Rattus norvegicus: one gene and its partners. The protein of the gene in region 3 interacts with the protein of the main gene of each other region in a pairwise test. Links are inferred from orthologs where the notes say so. Each region holds a gene or a part of one and is shown on either strand. Other genes may lie near its edges.

Evidence for each region.
Region 1: the proteins of Pacsin1 (region 3) and Cobll1 interact in binary tests that used the Homo sapiens proteins (3 or more experiments, as listed by UniProt). The link is inferred for Rattus norvegicus from reciprocal best matches to the Homo sapiens genes PACSIN1 and COBLL1.
Region 2: the proteins of Pacsin1 (region 3) and Jade2 interact in a two-hybrid assay, tested with the Homo sapiens proteins (2 studies listed by BioGRID and IntAct). The link is inferred for Rattus norvegicus from reciprocal best matches to the Homo sapiens genes PACSIN1 and JADE2.
Region 4: the proteins of Pacsin1 (region 3) and Cobl interact in binary tests that used the Homo sapiens proteins (3 or more experiments, as listed by UniProt). The link is inferred for Rattus norvegicus from reciprocal best matches to the Homo sapiens genes PACSIN1 and COBL.
Region 5: the proteins of Pacsin1 (region 3) and Ankrd24 interact in a two-hybrid assay, tested with the Homo sapiens proteins (2 studies listed by BioGRID and IntAct). The link is inferred for Rattus norvegicus from reciprocal best matches to the Homo sapiens genes PACSIN1 and ANKRD24.

Annotation. Positions count from the first base shown.
Region 1 is NC_086021.1:70,319,786-70,324,010, forward strand, and holds the start of Cobll1 (cordon-bleu protein-like 1), read right to left. Parts: upstream 2,802-4,225; 5' UTR 2,688-2,801; coding exon of another isoform or gene 2,638-2,687; coding exon 2,561-2,637; intron 1,991-2,560; exon of another isoform or gene 1-1,990.
Region 2 is NC_086028.1:36,620,910-36,625,088, forward strand, and holds the start of Jade2 (E3 ubiquitin-protein ligase Jade-2), read right to left. Parts: upstream 2,801-4,179; 5' UTR 2,587-2,800; coding exon of another isoform or gene 2,459-2,586; intron 2,329-2,458; exon of another isoform or gene 2,176-2,328; intron 1,833-2,175; exon of another isoform or gene 1,699-1,832; intron 117-1,698; coding exon of another isoform or gene 33-116; intron 1-32. UniProt on the Homo sapiens protein: Scaffold subunit of some HBO1 complexes, which have a histone H4 acetyltransferase activity. Acts as an E3 ubiquitin-protein ligase mediating the ubiquitination and subsequent proteasomal degradation of target protein histone demethylase KDM1A.
Region 3 is NC_086038.1:5,718,555-5,722,738, reverse strand, and holds the start of Pacsin1 (protein kinase C and casein kinase substrate in neurons protein 1), read right to left. Parts: upstream 2,811-4,184; 5' UTR 2,563-2,810; intron 1,080-2,562; exon of another isoform or gene 983-1,079; intron 1-982. UniProt on the Homo sapiens protein: Plays a role in the reorganization of the microtubule cytoskeleton via its interaction with MAPT; this decreases microtubule stability and inhibits MAPT-induced microtubule polymerization.
Region 4 is NC_086032.1:91,183,694-91,187,203, forward strand, and holds part of Cobl (protein cordon-bleu), read right to left. Parts: intron 774-3,510; coding exon 563-773; intron 1-562.
Region 5 is NC_086025.1:8,729,111-8,733,138, forward strand, and holds the start of Ankrd24 (ankyrin repeat domain-containing protein 24), read right to left. Parts: upstream 2,801-4,028; 5' UTR 2,605-2,800; intron 2,029-2,604; 5' UTR 1,865-2,028; coding exon 1,829-1,864; intron 1-1,828. UniProt on the Homo sapiens protein: Component of the stereocilia rootlet in hair cells of inner ear.

The DNA of each region.
Region 1 (4,225 bases), on a different chromosome or scaffold from region 3:
GTTAACGATTCAACACCAGTATGTTAGAATGTAGATCACAGTCAGGAGACAGTCAAATCAATTACCACAGTGAACGGACACCTCAAACCTCAGGTTTTACTAATTGGTTCAGTAACTCTGGCAGAGCATTTCCTCCCCCACACCCCACCCCGTCGTAAAATGTGGAGCTGCACTGATTTGTCCTTCAAATAACCTGTTACAGAGGCCTAGACCTTGGAAAATTACAGACAACAGAGGACTTCTTTTGAACAACAATATCCAGGGATAAGAACTAAAGGAGGCCTCACCACCTATTAGGTTATTGAGTCATGATATAATTAGTTCTATAGTAAGGAGCCTTCCTTCAAAACCAACAATTATAGCATATCAGGATCGCACCCTGCCACCTCCTGAATATTCTCATTTTCCCACAATTTAAACCTTTTTTAAAGGGCTTTTTTTTTTTTTTTTTTTTTTTTTTTAGAAAAAGCAAAAGCAAACGCTAATCCTGGATACTCAAAGGACGTAACAAGCCTTGGACTAGACAAGTGGGAGAAGACGAGCCATTAGAAGCTCAATTTTTTAAAAGAACAGTGTTAGGTATTTTTTAAAAGAACAGTGTTAGGTATTCTTGCGGTCTATTTACAGGTGCATTTTCCCAGATGTCTTCCCTGAAGTTTGAAAAGTAAGTGCAAAGGTCCTTTAAAATATTTTCCTCTGTGGGGTGTGGTGGTGTGTGTGCCTGTAACCTCAATTTTGGGAGTCAGAAGCAGGAGGCTACCCTCAACTATAAATGCAGTTCCAGACCACCCTGGGCTAAAGGGAGTCTCGAATGAATGAATGAATGAATGAATGAATGAATGAATGAATGACTCATTGAGCATTTAATTATATTCATGCTCTTAAGGAACTCAGTGGTTTAGCCCCTACGTTCTCGAGCATACAAACTGGGGTGCTCTAGGCTTATCACTAGAAAGCTCTTCACGCTGCTCCGTCACAGAGCTCTCTGCCCTCCCCTACTTTGTTCAAAAGAACTGACCCTCGAGCATCTGTGACTGCGTTCTGTGTAAATGTATGACACAAATGCACAATGGAATTCTCTGCTATTTTCTTAAGAGTCTAATTCAGTTTCGGGTGAAAGCTGGTTCATCGTTAACTTACATAAACCCACAGCTCTGTCCCCAGGCCTTGTTTTACATTCAGAATCCCATCAACATATTTACTATTTCACACAGCTAAAATACATGGAAGGAGACACATTAGTATCTAAACTGCCCCCCCCCCCCGCCAAGAAAAAGTGGAGCTCTGTAGCAATAGGGATACTTGCATGGAGAAGATCAAACTTTAGAGAAAAAAAGAACGAATTCATACGCTGCAAATTTCCTCTACGTATGCATTACACTAAATATCTGTTAGATTAGTCATGCAGCCTTGAGACTCTTCCATGTTTCCTCTAGACAACTGCCAATGCTCGCATGGCCTCTGACGAATAAACATGCTGTGACTTGCTCCTAAGGAAACGCCTGTCATGTTCCAGGGAAAAATGACTTCTTCACTCTTAAACCACAAAAAAAAAAAAAAAAAAAAACAAAAAACAAAAAACAAAAAACTGAACGACTCTCATTCATTGCTTACAAAGTCGCCTGTTCCTTAACGTTCCCATTTCCGGAATGTTCATACTTTGTTTAGGGCATTTCTAGATTCTGATTAACAAAGAAAAAAGAAATTGGGGGTGCTTTATGGTAAAGAGGCTACAAGATAGCAATGGGGCGTTCTCAACTGAAGCAGGGTTGTGTAGTTTGACCGTTTACCACGACAAAGGTTATTCTCAAGTTCTGCTTGGCCCTTGCAGGACTACCTGTTCTCACCACTGTTTACCCAAACGTTTAACAGAGTGATTTTTAGCATATTTGGCAGGAAGGCATGCTTCATTTAATATTAACTCACCATGTGACAGCCCCTTCCCTTCCAATCGCTCCTCAAACACGTGACGGTAAAAAAAAAAAAAAAAAAAAAAAAAAAGTATAGGTGTTTGCCAATGCGACTGGCTTCGCGCTCGGCTTTGGCATCACCAATTGGCCAGAGGCACACAACACACACACACCCCCAGTCAGAGGCGAGCACCCCGCCTGCTCCCGGAACTGTCAAGCCGGGCTGACAGCTGGCACACCTTGCTGAGCCCTCCGAGGACTTCTAGGAAGCCCCTTTCTTGCAGTCACCTTGACAGAAGCCACCCGCCTGGGCCCGAGCGCTTGGCCGTGGAAACTTTTCCTTCCTTTCCCGGAGCGCACTTACAGGTGTCGTCCCCCGCCGCTCCACAGCCCCAACAAGGGGCCCTTTGTTACCACTTTTGCTCCGGGACTCCTCACCCAACGCCTGCCATTCGACTGGCCTTCCGCAACCCCCCGATCGGAAAGCTCGCCCAAACCAGCGAACCCCCCACCCCGGTTCGCCCGGGAGGACGCAGTCTCCTGCCCGCGTGTGGGTCGGCCCGGGAGCCGGGCGGCCCCGCGGGGAGCTCGCTGCGGGCAGGTGAAGCGCGCGAGGCCTCGGCAGCCGGGAGGGCAACTACCCTACTTACCCTGCAGAGCCGGCAGACTGCGTGGCGGGGGTGCGAGGCGCGCTGCGGGGTACGGGATCCCGGGCACTGCGGTCCATCGCGCTGCTGGCCGCGGCGCGGGCTCGAGCTCGGAGGCGGCGCGTCACTGCTGGGGTGGGAGAGGCCGGCGGGTCAGGGCGGGAGCGGGACAGCCAAGAGCCCGCCTCGACCCACGGCAGCTGGGGGCAGCCCCGCCTCCCCGGGGCGCTTCCACCTGCGGGTCGGTCCCTGCCTGAGGGCGCCGCGATGCCAGCCACAGGTCCCCGCCCCGGCCGCAACCCGCAGCCAGTCGGGGGCGAAGGGGCGGCGCGCGGCCGCCCCGGCTGCGAAGGAGGAGGAGCGGACCGGGCGCGGGACGGTCGCCACGCCCGCAGTTGGTGCTTGGGCTCCAGCAGCCCGCTGCGCACCAACAGAATCCCGTGTAAACTTTTCCGGAGGTGCTGCGGACCACAGCGCCCCCGCTTTCCCAAACCGCTGCCTGCTTTAGGGGACCCGGCCCGTCCAGGCTCCGCGCACTCCACCCGGAGCTCCGCTCCTCCCCCGCGCGGCTGGCTCGGACGCCCCGGAGCGAGCGCGCGGCGGAAGAACGGCCGCCGCGCCAGCGCCCCAACTCACCCTGCCCCATAGCCCTGCCGGGAGTCCCGAGCTCGCAGTCGCCTCGGCCAACTCGCCCTGCAGAAGTGAAGGTGACGAGGTCGGCATCGGAGCGAGCAGGGCAGCCAGCCGGAGAGGGGACGGATAGGGCGAGCGGGCGGGGACGTGGAGCGAGGAGGAATTTCCTACCCCACCCCGCACCCCTCCCCGGGGCACGCGGCTTTAGGGTACCGCGGGGGAGACCGGTGGACAGGAATCGTCTAGGCGGCTCGTTCCAGCCCCCACTGCCAGAGCATAGCTTTGGGAAGCCCCGCGAACCCAAGAGGGACAGTGGGCGGACAGGGAGGATACCTGGCCAGCAAAACCCCAGGGAGGGCCCAAGCTGTAGCGGAAGTGAGGAGAGCTCGTGGAACGAGCTCTGCTGATTGACTACCTGCAGTCTGACCTTCCAAGTGCTGGATTTTCTTTTTAACCTTACTGACCCCTGCGGTTGCTAGCCTGTAAATGGCACCTCTGACATTGTGATCTTTCTAATCCCTGGCAGGTTTAAGCTCGTCCTGTCTTCCCAGGCATGCTTCTCTTGATGTAAACATCCAACAGCTGTGATCTGAGGACTGGACGTTCTCATGATGACAGTCTATAAGCTAAGAAAGAACAGCAGAGATTTAGTGGCCTCCTGGAAGTTTCACAGAAATAAAGGAATCTCAGTGCTTGCTTGTTTGTAGTTTCGGTTCCTACAAGTATTCTCAGAGGAGGTGTCCCACCTGACAACCAAGGGTATTAGCATATCCTCTCCTCATTCTTAGAAGCTTGCCAACTATTTTAAAGTCATATTGATGAGTCCAAAAGCTTACCTCAGAAAATAATGCTAAATTAAAGAATATATAAATGGATACCCCAAGTGACAAATCTGTGATAGACATAAAAACATGATGTGGGCTAACAAAGGACTTACATTTTTGGCACACATTAAAATTAAACTAGTATTTATAACCCGTGCTTAATAAAAGGTTCTCATTCATTGCAACCACCTCCAATGATTTCTGGAATTGA
Region 2 (4,179 bases), on a different chromosome or scaffold from region 3:
TTACAGTTCATTCTCTTATTTTCCTTGTCCGCTTAGTAGATTGCTCTGCAAGTTCCAACCCGCCCAAGGAAGATGGGACAGGAGGGCCTGGAGGGCTGGTGTGTTCGCCTGGGGCCCTTAAGGGGGCAAAAGAAATCAATCGAGGGGAAAAAGAAGTCAGCACCCTGGGAACCCAGAAAACAGGGCCAGGCTCGGTTGGCAGTCCTCTGCGGGGATCTTCTGCCAAATGTCCTACTGGGAATTTTACCAGTGACAGGAGAGACAGTGCCACTCTGGGAGGAGAACCCAGCTCCCAAGCTCCGGTGTGTTTGCAAATATAAATGTGAAGGGAGCATCCTAACTTGTTCCTCCTGGCTCAGAACTCTTTATTTCAAAACCGGGGCCCCCGCCCCTCCCTAACCCCTCTGGCACCTTCTCTGAAAACAACCATAATCCCTCCCATTGACCTCTTGCAAACTGCCTCTGGGTAAAACTTTGTACCTCGGAATCCTGCAGATGAGGTGGGGGTGGGGGTGGGGTGCTTGGGACAAGGGTGAAGTTTGGAAATCTGCAGAGACTCCGGATAGCGAGTGCAATGTACCCTGGGGCATAAAGAAACCCGGCGCCCCTCCCCCGCCCCCCAGCAGGAGGCCTGAGGCCAAGCTGGTTAAAAAAAAAAGTGCACAGGCCGGCTGCAGCGGCTAAGGGGATTAGAAGAGGGTTGCCCGCCTCCAGCCTGCCCCTGGCGGCCGGCGACGGGCACGCAGGCTGGAGGCGCGCCGGCGTGATTCCGACCGCCGGAGCCGGGAGGAGGAGCCGGAGGTGGCTGAGGGGGGCTCCGGCCCAGGCGTAGGAAGGGCAAGAGGCGGTTCGGGCCGGGGGCGGTGCCAGGAGGTGGGTGGGCTTGGCGCCCGGGGCGGGGGAGGGGTCTAGGGGACTGGGGAAGGGCAACTGAGCCCAGGGTGGGGGCGGGGGTACTGAGCGGGGCAGAGGTGTGCAGTAGGGGGACCGGGCTGAGCTGGCTGGGCCTCCCTAGAAGGTAGAGGGAAGCCTCCAAGCCGGTTTTGCAGATGTCCTCACCCTCCGGCGGAAAAGCTACGAGTCTCCAAGCTGACCCAAGATCACCCCTTGCCCGAAGAAGGGGAGATCTCAAGAGCCCAGGGATGGGCGGGAAGGGACCATGGGGAGCCACAAGTCTGCACCCAGGCGGGGAGTGGGCGAGCGAGAGCCGCTCCGCAGGCGCAGGCAAGTGGGTGGGAAGGAGGGAGGGAGAGGGAGGAAGGAGGTGAGCCGGGAAGATGCCACTGCCGGGGGCGGGGCCGGGGATCCGGCAGAAGGACTGCAGCAGTGTTTGGTGGGGGCGGGGGCTGCAATGTCACTCATTTTGGGGTCAGGTGCGTGTGTCCCAGGCATGGCCCGCCACTTGTCTGCTGCTCCTAGGCACCACCCAGAGTTTAGTAAGGGCGGAGGGAAGGGGGGGGGGAGCTGCAGAGTCGTCCCTGAAGCGGGACGCGAACCAGCAGAGTTGGGAGAAGGTAAACAAGGGCCACGCCCCCTGCCGTCGCCCCGCGAGCGCGCACCCGCCGCTCCGGCCGTCGCCGGTACATTTCCACTCTCGCAGTGCCTCTCCCCCACCGGACTCCCGCGCAGCACCGGGAAGCTGCTGTCCACTACCCCAATATGCACCCTGGCTGCCGGGGTTGCGCACCCAGCACTCACCTGGGAACGTTGTCCCCCGCCCCTTAAAAAGAAAAAAAAAACTAATTTGTGCAATGCCTCTGAACCCAAGAACCGAGCATGCTGCCCCCGCGTGCAGCTCCCGCGTGCACCCAGCCTGGAAAGGGGGCGCAGGGCGGAGGCGGTGGCCCCCGGAAGGTGTCTAGGACTGGACCGGCTGCACGTGAGCCCAGCGCGGGGTCATGTGCATCGGCTCAGCCCGGTTCGGCACCCGGACGTGCTGCGTATCAACAAAATGAAACTCGGGTAGACAGAAGGGCAGATGGCTCCAGGTTTCCCGTGCCCCGGTGCCCTGCCGCTCGGCCTCCCCACCCCGCACCCCGGTCGCGCCGCAGCCCCTCGGGCCGGCCGGAGCCCGCGAGGCAAGTTGCAGCCCCAGCGCCCCCACCCGCCCGCGCCCCCTCGCCGGCCCAGGGGCGCTTTGCCGCAGTCATTAATAAAGAAGGTCGCCAGGCTCACCCTTCCAAAAGTTGTTGCATGCGCCCCTCTCAGCCTCCCCGCACTGTACTCTTTAAAACACGGCTGACCAACATGCGCAATCTCTCTCCCCAGTGCTGTGCGTCCCCCCCCCCCCCACCCCCCGCGCTGGCTTCCTAGAACAGGCAGCCAGCGAGAGAGGGAGCGAGCGAGCAAGAGAGAGAGGGAGCGAGGAGCACTGGCAGATCTGTTGAAAAAAAAAAAAAGCCCACAAAATAACGCCGTGGAGATGCGCAGGGCCCATCCGCCGGGGGCTGGCTCTTACCTTGCTCCGCGGTGCCCTCCCGAGGGGCGCTGCCCTCGGCTACGCGCCGCGGCGGGGGCCGGCGCGGGAAGGATGCTCCTGAAGCCAGGAGCTCCTGGGGCCGGCGCGGGAGGGCGGGGGGCGCGCATCCATCCGGGGTCGTGGCGAGGGAGGCGACCGGGCCGCAGCGTCCCCCAAGCCCCGCACCCCTGCTGGGAAGATGGTCAGCCCTCCAGTCCAGAGCTGGTGCCACTAGGAGTGGGCGCAAAGTAACTCCATGGACGCTACTCACCCCCCCAAAAAATAGCCTCCAACTGCGATGGCCGCGGTCGGCACCATTCACCAACCCCCGTGTATGTTTCTGTTTCTTTTTAAACCAAGACTTCCTTGTGATCTCTTTAGAGGGGGAAAAAATGTGTTGGGGTGGGGGTGGGGTGGGGGCGGGCAAGAAGAGAGGGAGGGGGAGTAGCCACTTTTTTCTAATTCACTCGGATCTCCGCTCCCGGCACCCCCCTGTCGTGTCCCCCCCCTTCCCAGTTGTTTGGCTCCGGCGACAGTCCCAGGTAGCGTTGCGGCCCCCCCGGGGGGGGTGCCCTGCACGGTCACCCGTCCGCCTGCACGCGGGCCCGGACTCCTCGTGGACTCTGGGGCGCCCCCAGCCCGCCCTGTCCCCAGGGCCGGGCCCGAGCGCCGGCTGAGCCCGTGCAAGTCCCATCAGGTCGGCTCACACTTCACACACTCACACACATACCCCGCCCCTCCACTCGCTCACTCACACTTTCTGCTCACACCCCGCCCCCTTCGCGCCCCAGACCCAGGCGGAGCCCCCCGCAACCTTAAAAAAAAAAAAAGCAAGCTTATACTTAAAAAAATCTTTTGGCGCCATATTAATGACGTACTTAAAATTTGCCATTTCTCCCTGCGTCAAAAAGACGTTTCTTTGCAAATAACAGCCTGGAGGCGACACTCGCGGAGGAAACGAGGCTTGCACGGAGTACCCAGCCCGCCCGCCCCACCCCCAGGGACTCCGGTGCTGGAAGACCCTCGCCCTCCGCCCGGTTTCGGAATCACTGGTTTTAAAATCGAAATCGAATAAATCGCGTGGCGTTTTTTGCAGCGCCAGAAGTGAGCAGAAAGTGCAGGCAGGAGTGCAGGGGAGGGGCGCGCATGGGGCTGGGGGAGGGGGCGCGGTCCTCCTTCCCCCCACCCACACCAAATGCAAACTAGCATCCTAGGTAGGGAAAGTTGAAATTGTGGGCGACCTCCGGAAGAGAGGGGCAGTCCTTAGAGGGGGGTCCCTTCTTGGGCTCGTTGCCCCCTCCCCCTCGCGGGTGCCTCCTGGCGCCCGGTGCTGCCCTGCATTTCCGGGGGGGGGGGGTGAGGCGCACTGTGATGGGTGGGTGGCTAGCAGGGTGGCAACATGTCCTAGCCTCAGGAGGAGTTTGCCCCCGGGTACCCCCTTTCTCCTGCCTCGTGCTTTTTATAACCGCAAAGGGTTAAAAACCGAGGGGCAACTTCCCTGGGTTGGTACTTGGCAGAGAAGCGGGGCGCCCCTCTCCCCACCCTCTCCTTCTCGCCCCTCCTCCTCCGACTCCACTTCCCGACTTGACCTTGTGGTGCACAAACAGTGCTCTCCAATCCTCGCAGTTTCTGGAAGAAGAGCCTGCGCTCGCCAGGCGGGCGGGCTGTCGGGCGGCTAGCCGGCAGTGGCGGAGCCTTGGGTCGGTTCCCTGAGCTGCGGG
Region 3 (4,184 bases):
GAGTCGGAGGTGACCTCTCACCTGGGGCACCAGAAAGCTCCTTAGAGAGAGTGATCTGAGTAGCCAGGCAAAGATCTGACAAGAAAACCAGGCTGTGGGCAGAGCTTCCCAGACCACTGGCAACCTGCACCCCAGCTGTGCCAGGGCCCCTGACAATGGGCTATTTCTGGTTGTGCCTAGAAGAAGAAGATGTCGCATGTGTGTGTTCCCCCCCAGGCTGCAGAGCTGGGTTTGGGGGAGGTGGGGGAGGTGGAGGGTAAGGCTGGAACTTAAAAGCCAAGCCGAGGGTTTGAAGCTGAGTCTAGCCAAGCCCTGGGGTTTGCCACTGTGTCGCAGGCACATTAATGACCCTTTAACCTTTGCACAGCCTCCTGAAAGGTGAACACAGCCCGGAGAGCGCCCCAACCGTGACCAAATGGTCTGAGGTTGGTGGAGATTCGAGAAGGCGGGGTGGCGCAGAGAGGATTCTGCAGCATCTGCGGGGGCCCTCAGCACCCACACCTCCTCTCTCCTTCCACCGCCCACCCCCAGCTGGTGGGGGGGAGGGGTCGGAAGCAAAGAAGGAAGTACCTGTAATCTAAACCAGACATCGCCGGCTGTGCTTCTCCCCAGCCCACTCTGATCCAGAAATAACCTACGCACCAAGCTGGCATCAGCCCACCCATCCCAGCTGGTCGCAGAAAAACACTCAACATCGGGGGGCCAGGCCCCCGCTTTCCAACGATCCAATTTCCTCTCCCTTTCCCCAGGGTAGAGGCCTCCCCTTTAACATCCCCAGAGGCCATCCTGGCACTGCCTGGGTCAAGTCCAAGAGCATCCCAGGGCGCGCGCCCTCCTCTCCCCAGGTACCTGCCCTCGGCTGTGTCCAACGCCATCACACGCTGGCTACCTGCACCCCGCACTAGGGCCCTGGACTCCCCCACACACCCCAACCCTACCCCCGCCCCCACCCCGCACTCTCTCAACGTCTTAGACCCCCTACCTGGGTGCCGGAGCACCGGACACCATCGGCGGGGCGGGTAGCAAAGTGGGCGGCGGCGGCGGCGGCGGCCCAGCCTCAAGCCCGGATGGCTTCCCGGGGGAGGAAGAGAAGGAGGAGGAGAAGGCAGGCGCGACCGCCGCGCGTCTCTCTGGGGCTGCGGGAAGGAGGAAGGTCAGAGACTCCGCGGAGCGCAGCGCCGCGCGGGGGCGGAGGCGGCGCGGATTAGAGCGGCTTCTCCGCGAGCCAATGGCGGCGCGGTGGCTGCGCAGGTGGCAGCGCCGCGGTACCCGGAGGCCGCGCCCGCCCGGCCGCCTGTTCCCGAGCTCGGCGAGTGTGGTTCCTGCGCGCTCCTAATCCCTGCTTCTCATGTAGGGGTACGCGCAGGATGGGGGTTTGCGGTTTGGTGCGATGACCCTCTCCTCTACCTGTGTGTGCACGGATACGCGCAGGACAGGCCCTGGTATGATGACCCCCCTCCTCTACCCATGTGTGTTGGGTATGTGGAGGACAGGAGCCTTCAGGCTAACCAAATAGTGAGGATGCTCTCCTCCGGCCTAGCCCACGGTCCACCCCCACACTCAGCTCTGCCAAGAAGACCTGTGTGGATCCTCAGGCCACAGTTCACCTCAAGGAGGCTTTCTGGGACTTGGGGATCTAAAAGGTGACAGACAGACAAACACACACACACACACACACACACACACACACACACACACACTAGCTGCTTTCATGCCTTGTATTCGAACTGCTTCCAGGAGCCAGGCTGTGGGGCCTGACTTAGCAGAGCACAAGGTTCGTTCAATATGTCCAGAACATTCCATAAACCAGAGAAATGAGACCAGGAGGAGAAAACTGCCCACTTCTGCCCCTCCCTAGCGCAGGCTCGAGAGATGTTCAACAGGGTGCATAGAAGGAAGTTTTCCCGAACCCCTCCCTGGGGGGCGAGCCTCACTGTGAGCTCTGAAGTCCACCAGTCTAGGGACCCAGAGGAATGCCTGCGACAGTGTAGTGTTCGTTCGTTCATTTACCAGGAATTCCGTGAACACTGGTTCCAAACTTTAACTTCTAGGTTAGAACCTAGAAGACATCGCCAAATGAACAGGCCACAGGCGGCATCTCTCAGGGTTTGGACGCGTCAAGTGAGTGGATGTATTAGTCAGGGAACAGAGGGATAGAAGGAATGTCTATTACAAAGGAGCTTGTTAGATCTGCTCGAACGACGACAAGAGTCCGCGCGCTGGAGAGGCTGAGGATACCATAGCTTCTCCAGGACACTGGGTTCCTCAGTAGTCCCAATGTGGCACTGAATGCGTGGAAGGTTCCGGAAGAGCCCCAGGAGTCATCATAGGCCTTCCGGAGACATTGGAAGGTTGAAACGGTGGGATTCTGTTGCAGCAGCGGCTGCAGCAGCAACAGAACGGATACATTCACAAGCATGACGCAAAGGTGGGCAAGCCAACGGCACTATGCCCCACCCCCAGACTTCTTACATCACGCCACCCCAGAAGGTACCGCCCACCTTGGGAGAGTCTCTTTTACCTCTCAGTCAGTCCTTCCGAGAAATGCCTTCCCATGCTTACCCAGAGTCTCTTAGTTCTTCCCAGGTCCAATCAAGTCTCTATTAACCATCAGCGGTTGGTGTTCCACGGAAGGCTGAGGGCTCTGGGCAGAGCTATCCAGTAAGGTTTTCTAGTGGTGCTGAAGGAGAACTGAAGTTCAGGTTAGCCAGATGGCCCAGGAGTAAGGCAAAGCCATCAAGGCCCGCAGCTCTGGGCTGCCTCTCTACACGGGGATACGATAGCCTGGAGCTAATGAGGCCCACCCTCTACTCCTGCCTCAGCACCCTGATTCCGGTTCCCCACACCCCAAACTGGAGTTTACCCTCAGCCTCAGGCAAAGCTGTGAAGCTCACACGGGTGCGACAGCTGTCCAGGAAACACTGACTCAGACTCCTCATCTTGTTAGCCATATGACAAGCTGTCGGTGGAGTCTCTGGGGCCTAGGGGAGCCTCGGACACACCCAGGGCTCTGTTCTGGGGTTCATAGCAATGGTGGTGGTTTTTCTCTCCAGATGGGATGCTGGAAGGCACGAAGAGTACCTAGCCCGCTGCTCAGAACCTAACAGGCCAGGGAAAAGGACACCCATTTTTTTTTTTTTTTCGGAGCTGAGGACCGAACCCAGGGCCTTGTGCTTGCTAGGCAAGCGCTCTACCACTGAGCTAAATCCCCAACCCCATGGGCACCCATTTTTATAACCACAATTATCCGCATCTCCAGTGCTCTCGCCCAGTGTTGTGGAAACGCACCCCTTTAAGACAGAAGCGTCGGGGCTGGGGATTTAGCTCAGTGGTAGAGCGCTTACCTAGGAAGCGCAAGGCCCTGGGTTCAGTCCCCAGCTCCGAAAAAAAGAAAAAAAAAAAAAAAAGACAGAAGCTTCACCTCAAGAGGCTGGTTCCCGGGGTTGGGGATTTAGCTCAGTGGTAGAGCGCTTGCCTAGGAAGCGCAAGGCCCTGGGTTCGGTCCCCAGCTCTGGAAAAAAAAAAAAAAAAAAAGAACCAAAGAACCAAGAGGCTGGTTCCCCACAAAGGTTCTCACTCGGGAGGCAGAGGCAGGCAAATCTCTGAGTTCAAGGCCAGCCTGGTCTACAGATCAAGTTCCAGGACAGCCAGGGCTGACAGAGAAACCCTGTCTTGGGGGGAAAATCCTTTAAAAAAAATTAAACAAATAGGCTCAGTAGTTAAGAGAACTTGCTGCTCTCCCAGACACCCTAATTTTGGTGGCCAACACCCACATGGGACAGCTTACACCTGCCTGTAACCCCAACTCCAGGGCATCCTCACACCCTCTGGAGGTCTCATTAGACACAAACACACAGGCGCAAAAAAACGCACACATGTGAACAGACACACATGCGCTAAAAATAGTCTCTTTTAAAGACCAAACAAACAAAAGCAGAGAGGAGTGAGGGAAAAGACAGCCAGGGGCTCTCTGGGCAGAGCTGAGGTGTGACTGGGGTTGAACTCAGAACGCATGCGCGCGCGCGCGCGCGCGCGCACACACACACACACACACACACACACACACACACACACACACACACACACACACACACACACACACACACACATTCACTCCTGTCCCATGTAACCTAAAATAAAATGTTTCGGGTTTCGGGAACTGACGCGGGATGTCCATACTTCCT
Region 4 (3,510 bases), on a different chromosome or scaffold from region 3:
TATTTTGATCGTATTCTTTCCTCTCCCCCAACTCCTCACAAGTTCTTCCCACTTCTTGTCCCTTACTCAACTTTCTAGTCCCTCTCTCTAAAATGGTAAACACTTTTATGGAACTACGCCTCCTGGAGCCAAACCCAGAAACACGTGTGTCAAGAAAGCAGTCACCGGTTAATAAGCAGACCACAGTGAATCTGAGAAATCTACTTCTTGATTATATTAGCTGGATGAGTGTTTGGGTGCTGCACAGAACCTGTGACTGCCATACTGAAACACTTCCATCTCCAAGCAGGTCCTGATGGACACGTTGTCCTGCAGCGGTCCTATTTGTATGATACAGAAAGGATCAGTATGGCAACAATAAACATTAGTAAATTTGTAAAGTCCTGCCTCCTGTGAGCAAACCCTGTAAGTTAGTACCAGGTATAAACGAGGAAACCGTGACACAGAGCTGTGTGTTTGGTACCCCAACCGAGGCCACCACCCATGCATACGGATGCACAAGTCTGTATATCTGTAAGTCTGTATGTCTGTATGTTCTCAGACAATGCACAGGGCCACTGACCTCAGGGGCCTTGGTTAGGCCAGGCTTCCCTTTCTCTTCAGGGACTTTTTCTTTCAGAAATACCGTATGTGCATTCAAGGAGCCAATCAACGTATTTGGCTTAAAACTCAAAGGCTGTTGGGTCTCCGAAGACCAGATCTCTAAGACGTGGTGAGAAGGATTCAGGTGGTTCTGAAGGCAGAGTTCAACCAGGAGGTCCATCACCGCACGGCTGAAAGGGAGAAACAAAACAGGGTTATCGAGGCTGCCTGCAGGTTCCCTTCTGTCTGGCTGAGAAAGGCCATGTGGCTAGATGGAAAAGATGAGACTTGTGTATAAAAAAAGGCGGAGGAGGAGGAGGGGGAGGAGGGGGAGGAGGGAGAGGAGGAGGACAGTGTTAGCGATTTTAAGACTTTTAAGCTCTTATGCATAATTCTATGATGGCATGTTAACAGTTTCAATGCTAACCACTTTAATAGCCCATCAAAATCATAATAAATAAACAACAACAGTTCCATTTCTAGATAAATGCATGGATCTGTGAGGTTAGCTAAATCCTATAAGCAAAAGCTACACAACCTATGGTTCTGTGGCATGAATTATCCCATCATTTGGAAGTGTAAAGTATCGAAAAATCCTCTAAATTTTAAATTGAATAAATTGATAGACACTCTGATGAATAACAAGCCAATACGTTAAGGTATTACCCAGCAGAAACTAACAGACTCTGCCAAGACCAAATCAAAGAGAAAGGGGGGTCTTGAACCAATAACATAAAGAGACTGAATCAGTAATTAAACCTCACCTAAAATGAAAACCTCAAAACAAAGACTGCAAGCGAAAATTACACTGAATACCCAAAGAATAACACAGCAATGCGCCTTAAACTCAACAACAACAGCCATAAACGACTGAGCATCTCCAAACTGTAACATCAGCAAGGAGGAGGTTGCCATCCAAAACAAACAGAAATGAAAACAAAAATCCTCAATAAAATACTATTACTGCAATTCAACAGCACAGCAAAAAGATTGTACCCATGAACAAGTAGGATCTCTTCCTGGAATTCAAGCCTGGTTCAATATATACATGGAAGTCAATAAATAATGATATAGCATACTGCCAAAATGAACCATAAAAACACATATATGTCTCAAGTAGTACTAAAAACATCTTATAAAATTGAGTATCTATTCATGATTTTAAAATATCTTTGCCACAATGAATATATAACTGACTGCAATACGATAAAAGTCACTCTCTCTCTGTCTCTCACAGAAAGATAGTGTGTGTTAAGAAAATAAAGAAGAATGCATAAAAGTTTAATTTAGAAAATATAACAGATCTCTTATTGGGTATCGTGTTATTAGGTCACTTATTTGACAAGCTATAAAACAAATAAAGCTTAGTCTCATCTTAGAAGAAAAATCACAGCAGTGAGTGGTTAGTTTTGTCCCTCCGTCCTTCCCTCTGAGCAAACCTAGTGCCAAAAAAAAAAAAAAAATCCACCAAATACCCTATTTCTCACTCATTGTAACTAAACAATATTCAGACCATCGAAATACTCACTACTATCTCCAGGGCAGTGCTTACTTATCCCATGTTCCATCTAAGAGGATATTAACAGCATGCGTCAAACATTACAACAATAATTCCACGGTACTGGTACCCCCGTGTCCCTAGGACATTCGGTGGGAGGGACCAGGACACATTCAACATTCACTTAGAGACTAAGGTGTGAGCAGGAGAAACCCTGCAGTGAATTCTGATCCGTCCAGCTTGAATACATACTCACCTCTCTCTCAACAGGGAACTTAGAAGTTAGAGCGAGCACACAGTAACATGCACCATGCACCCCAACAAAGCCTTCAGAACAAAGAAATGTCTTGGAACAGGGCCAAAATAATACTGAATTGTATGTGCTAGTATTGTATTGAAGATTTGTCTTTCATTCTTGTTCGTTTTGGATGACAGCCTGTGGTTTACTGACGTTGTAGTTTGAGATGTTCATTCTTTTGTTGCTATCGTTGAAGAGTTTAAGAAGCATTCTTTTAATATGTGGTATAATTTTCTATTGCAAAATGAATGCACTTACTTTGTGTATGCATTTAGTTTACGCATATATAAAATAAATATGATGCATTTGGTTCAAGGTTTTCCTTCCTGATGATGCTTCATTGTCTCTCTGGTGGCCTAGAGCTACTGTGTATCACACTTTGTTCCACCATGTCAAGGAGAACCCTAATTTTGGGGTTTCTCCAAGCTGATGGTTTTGGACTCACAGTACACCCAGGTCTATAGTTACTGATTATAACTTGTTTAACTAACCCCTCTGGGGGATCCATTTCCACCACATAAATGTATGAATACAAACTATAAAAAAAGCACGTAGCTCCTGACTGCTATCATCCAAATATTAAGGTCCGAAACACACTGCTATGAAAGGGATCATGAATAGTTTGGGGCTTTCTCCACTGCAGAGAACATACCCTCTTGCCTTAGCAGAAGCCAGCACGTACAACTCTATGTATTGACAGCATTCATCGATTAGGTCAACGGATATAGGTGTCTGAATCTCAACCTTATGTATCAAATGTTATTTCAAAATCAGCTGACCTAAGCCCTATGTAATATGCCCTCTCTCCTCCCAAGTCATCAAGGAGAAGACGTACTTTTCTAAGCTGTCTCCTGAAGACTGAATAGGGATCTCTAATGGGAACCTAGGACCATAAAAGAAAACACAGGACACCGGGACAATTTATTTCATGTCATGAGGGGGTTGACACTTCGTTTAGAAGAAGATGCTCACTGATATGACTAGTCATAACCTTGCCACATGAGCTCGTGTGAAACAAAGGGTGAGGGGACCAGGCCTTTTCCAGTCTGGAACACACCTGTTAAAATGCTAGATGGCACTTGAAAGAAACTCTAAGAAGCTCCTCAGGTCTCTACAAGCTCCTATGGCATTC
Region 5 (4,028 bases), on a different chromosome or scaffold from region 3:
GAACTAGAACTCAGCGGAGCTGACATCTGCAAGGCTGCAGCCTGGCACTTGGCCACAGCAGGAGAGACCCAGGGGCCCTCCAGGCAACCATGAGACTTCGCTTTCTTCCCTAGGGGCTGCAGAGCCAAAAGCCAAGCTTCTCCCTGGCTGCCGTGGGGAAACCAGAGAAGGGTGGGGGTGGCAGACCAGTTCCTGGCAGGAAGGGGCTGACCAGGCCTCCCATCTGCTGCCCAGTCTGGTCCAGTGCCAGGGCCCTGCCCCTCCCTACCCTGTTGCTGCCCCTTCACCAAAGCCCCACAAAAACACAACCATTCCAAGCTAAGTGTCTCTTGCCAGGGGTGGGCTGCAAGATTCTGAAATAATTCAGCTTTTTAAATGAGTGGGTCTTTTTTTTCACGGAGGATGTCCCCGTGTAATAGCTCTGGCTGTCCCAAGTGCTGGGATTAAAGGCTTTAGCCATCATTAAACTTCTCAAAACTTATTTTTCCTTAACTTAAAAATTGCTTTTATAAGGGCTGGAGAGATCGCTCAGCAGGAAGAGCACTGACTGCTCTTCCAGAGGTCCTGAGTTCAATTCCCAGCAACCACATGGTGACTCACAACCATCTGTAATGGGATCCGATGCCCTCTTCTGGTGCATCTGAAGAGAGGGACAGTGTAAATAAATCTTTTTAAAAGAGTTTTTTTTAAGTTGCATTTGTGTGTATGCGTGCACACATTCACGGAGGCAGGGGTCAGAGGATAACTTTGTGGAGTCATTCTTCCTTCTACCATGTGGATTCTGGGAATCAAACTCAGGAGAGATGGCTTAGCAGTTAGATCAATGGCTGCTATCTCAAAGGAACACAGTTTAGTTCCCAGCACAGACAGACAGACAGACAGCACTCTCACACACATAAAATAATAAAATATACTTTAATAACCCTTGGGTATGCATCCTTGGCTGCAAGTACCCTTCCCCACTGAGCCATCTTGCCAGCCCATTATTCAGCATTTGCAATGACTTGGTTTCCAACTGACTGAGATACTCAGGGATTCTGTCAAAAATTTATCTGGGAAATAATGGACCAGGTGGAAAATAATAAGGGACCAGTCCAGCCTTACTGTGTAGGAAAGCAACAGTCCTCCTCTCTCTTCTCTTCCCACCTCATCCCCAGCCTTCCGCCCCCCCTCGCGCGCTCTCTCGCCCCCCCCCCCCACTCTTGCTCTCTGGCTCTCACTAGCTCCTTCTCTCCCGCTCTCGCCCGCACCAACACCCTCCCCTCCCCATTCCCGTGCAGGTCACACCTACTGATACCTATCTCCAACATCTACCCAAGACAGGCAAATCAATTCCGAGCTGTGTGACTTTGAGGAGCTTCCACGGCTCCTTGAGCCACCCTTCCCCTCTCAAAGGCACATGATATAAGTTCATTCCTGGAAGAATCAGAGTGAGCGAGAGACCAGGGCTCACAGCAGAGCACTCCCAAGTGAATTCTTCCCTCAGGAATCACTAAATTCAGACATGAAAATGAAAACAGGGGCAGGGAGAGTTTGCGGGTATCTCAGAGACTCCTTGCCAGCATGTGCAACGGAGCAAGGGATGCCACGGCGACCACCATGACCCTGAGTGGGCGTTGGGGGAGGGGAACTGAGCCACGAGTGGGACTCGGTGAACCCACATGGGCTTAGCATCACCACAGAGCAGCCAGGGGAACCGGGTAGGGGACAAAAGGCGGAGCCTAAAAGAGAAGCAGTGGACTGATGGTGCTAAGCCACAGGGGGTGGGGGGTTTGAGCAGAAGGAGGGAGTGGTGGGTTCATCCCCTCCCCCAAACCTGCAGGTTCACCTCTGTCTTCTTGAACCGTGCCCGGAGGGTCTTCATCACGCCTGCTAGGGGCTCTCGTCCTGTTTCTGGGCAAGGCGTGGGTGGGGTGAGAGACAGGATGCTGGGTGGTCAGCCACACTGTCCTGCACAACACAGCCTGGGCAGATCCGCTTTGTCTCCTGGTGCAGGTTACTTGTGTTCTCTGAGGGAACTGTCCTCAACTGTAAACAGAGATAATTCCTCCATATCTGGGCAGCTCGGTGCAGCTCCCTGAAGCCGGGGCTGAGAGTGTCTCACAACCACCAGCATTAGCTCAGCAGTTCACAAGGCTCTGCGACCTGGAGTTTGTGCGGTCATTGATGACATGAACTCCCACCACCCAGACACACTTCTCCGTGAAATGTCTATTCATAAAATCGCCTCTCCCAGACAGGACTAACTCCCTCCACAAATGGAGTTTCCTGAGGTCTCCGGACCTGGGTCTCCTCCTATACCTCTAACCTGGGTTTGTATGTAATGGAGCTAGAGGGGAAGACACACTGGACAGTCAGTCCTTTGCAAGAAAGTCAGGTCAAAACTGTCACTACTCTTGGTAAGCAAGAGCAATTATTCAGGGCAGATCCACCCACCATCCATCCAACCACCCACCCACCCATTCATCCACTCATCCACCCACTCATCCATCCACCCACCCACCCATCCATACATCCACCCACACATCCACCCACCCATCCACTGACCCCACCTCCTCTACTAATCAGTCTGACGATTCAGGTTCACTTTCACCCCACACCCACCATCAAGGGTGGGTGACAAAACACCCAATAGTTGTCCACATGCTACCAGTGGGAAGGAAATCGCGGCAAGGCAGCAAGGAAGGCCTGTGGATTTAAGGGTTTGCCTCCTGGAAGAGGTGACACAGCACAGGTAACGCTGCGCACTGTGCCTAGGCCACGGCTCCCGCGTGGGATGTGTGTGCCTGTCACAGGTGTGCCGATGCATGTGTTCAGACTGTTGCAGGCAACACCCATGGGGCAGCACCAGCACCCAGACTTCCCTGGGCCTTCCTCACCCGCATCCCCCTACCTCAGGCGACTCCAAGCCGGAGCCCAGCCTCCAAGCAGCCTCTCTGGTTACCCGCTCCAGCTGTGAGCTGCCAGCAGCAGAGTCTAGGTGACACCCGATCAGGTTGGGGGGCGGGGGGAGTATGCGCCTGCCCCAAGGGGACGGGATGAGCCAAGGGAGGAGACAATCTGCTGTTGGTCAGCTTGCTCAGAAGGGCAGCCCAAGGACGACCTCTCCCATCTCCCTGTACACTCCTGCCTCCTCGAAGCCTTTCTTGGGGTCCCCACGAGGGTCAGGGGGCTTCAGTTGTCATATGCTGCCATTGACCTGGACCCCCAGTCACCATTACCATGGCCTGGTCCTGTGTCTGTTGATTACCAACAGGCAGAACGGTCAGATGGTGCCTCCCATCTCTAGATGGCTCACGGAAGCAGGATATCACAGGAGATTTGTGAGCCTCCAATCTATACTCTTCACCTCTCTCCCTGCATCTCTGGGCACCTGTGTACCACGTGGGAGTAGCTCAGTGGACCTGACCCTATGCTCTGTGCTATCCCAGGAGTTGCACCCCAGAAACTAACCCGGGAAATGTTGGCAGGGGGCCCAGGGGTCTTTCCTCTGCTCGAGAACCTCAATTGCTCATTCATTCTATCCTGTAGCCAGAGACAGGCAGACACTGGATGACAGTCACAAAGTAGAGACCCATAGGCTAGGGTATCATCCAGCCTAGCGTGGCTTCGAACTTGCTGTGTCCCGTCCCGCCAGTGCTATAAGCACTCAGGGCAGGGTTCTGAACACTGAGAACTGTGGTAGAGGTTTGTTTTGTTTTGTTTTGTTTCTGGGTTTTGTTGTTGATGCTTTGAAACAGGGTCTCACTACACAGAAACGCTGGTCTGAGACTCGCAATCCCCCTGCCTCGGCTTCTGTGAATGGCTTCATCATTTTTCTGGCTCTGGTCCCCGGACAAGCCCGACCCCTGGGTTGTCTCTGCCAGCACTAAAGACTGCGCCCGCTGCATCAGAAGGGCGCACGCGCTCTGGAAAGAATGCTGTTTACCCCACCCCACGCCCAGGCACGTATTTTTCCGGACCGTCCCTTATCCACTTCCGGCGGAAGCGGCCTCAACAAGGGAAACTTTATTGTTCCCGTGCGGCGG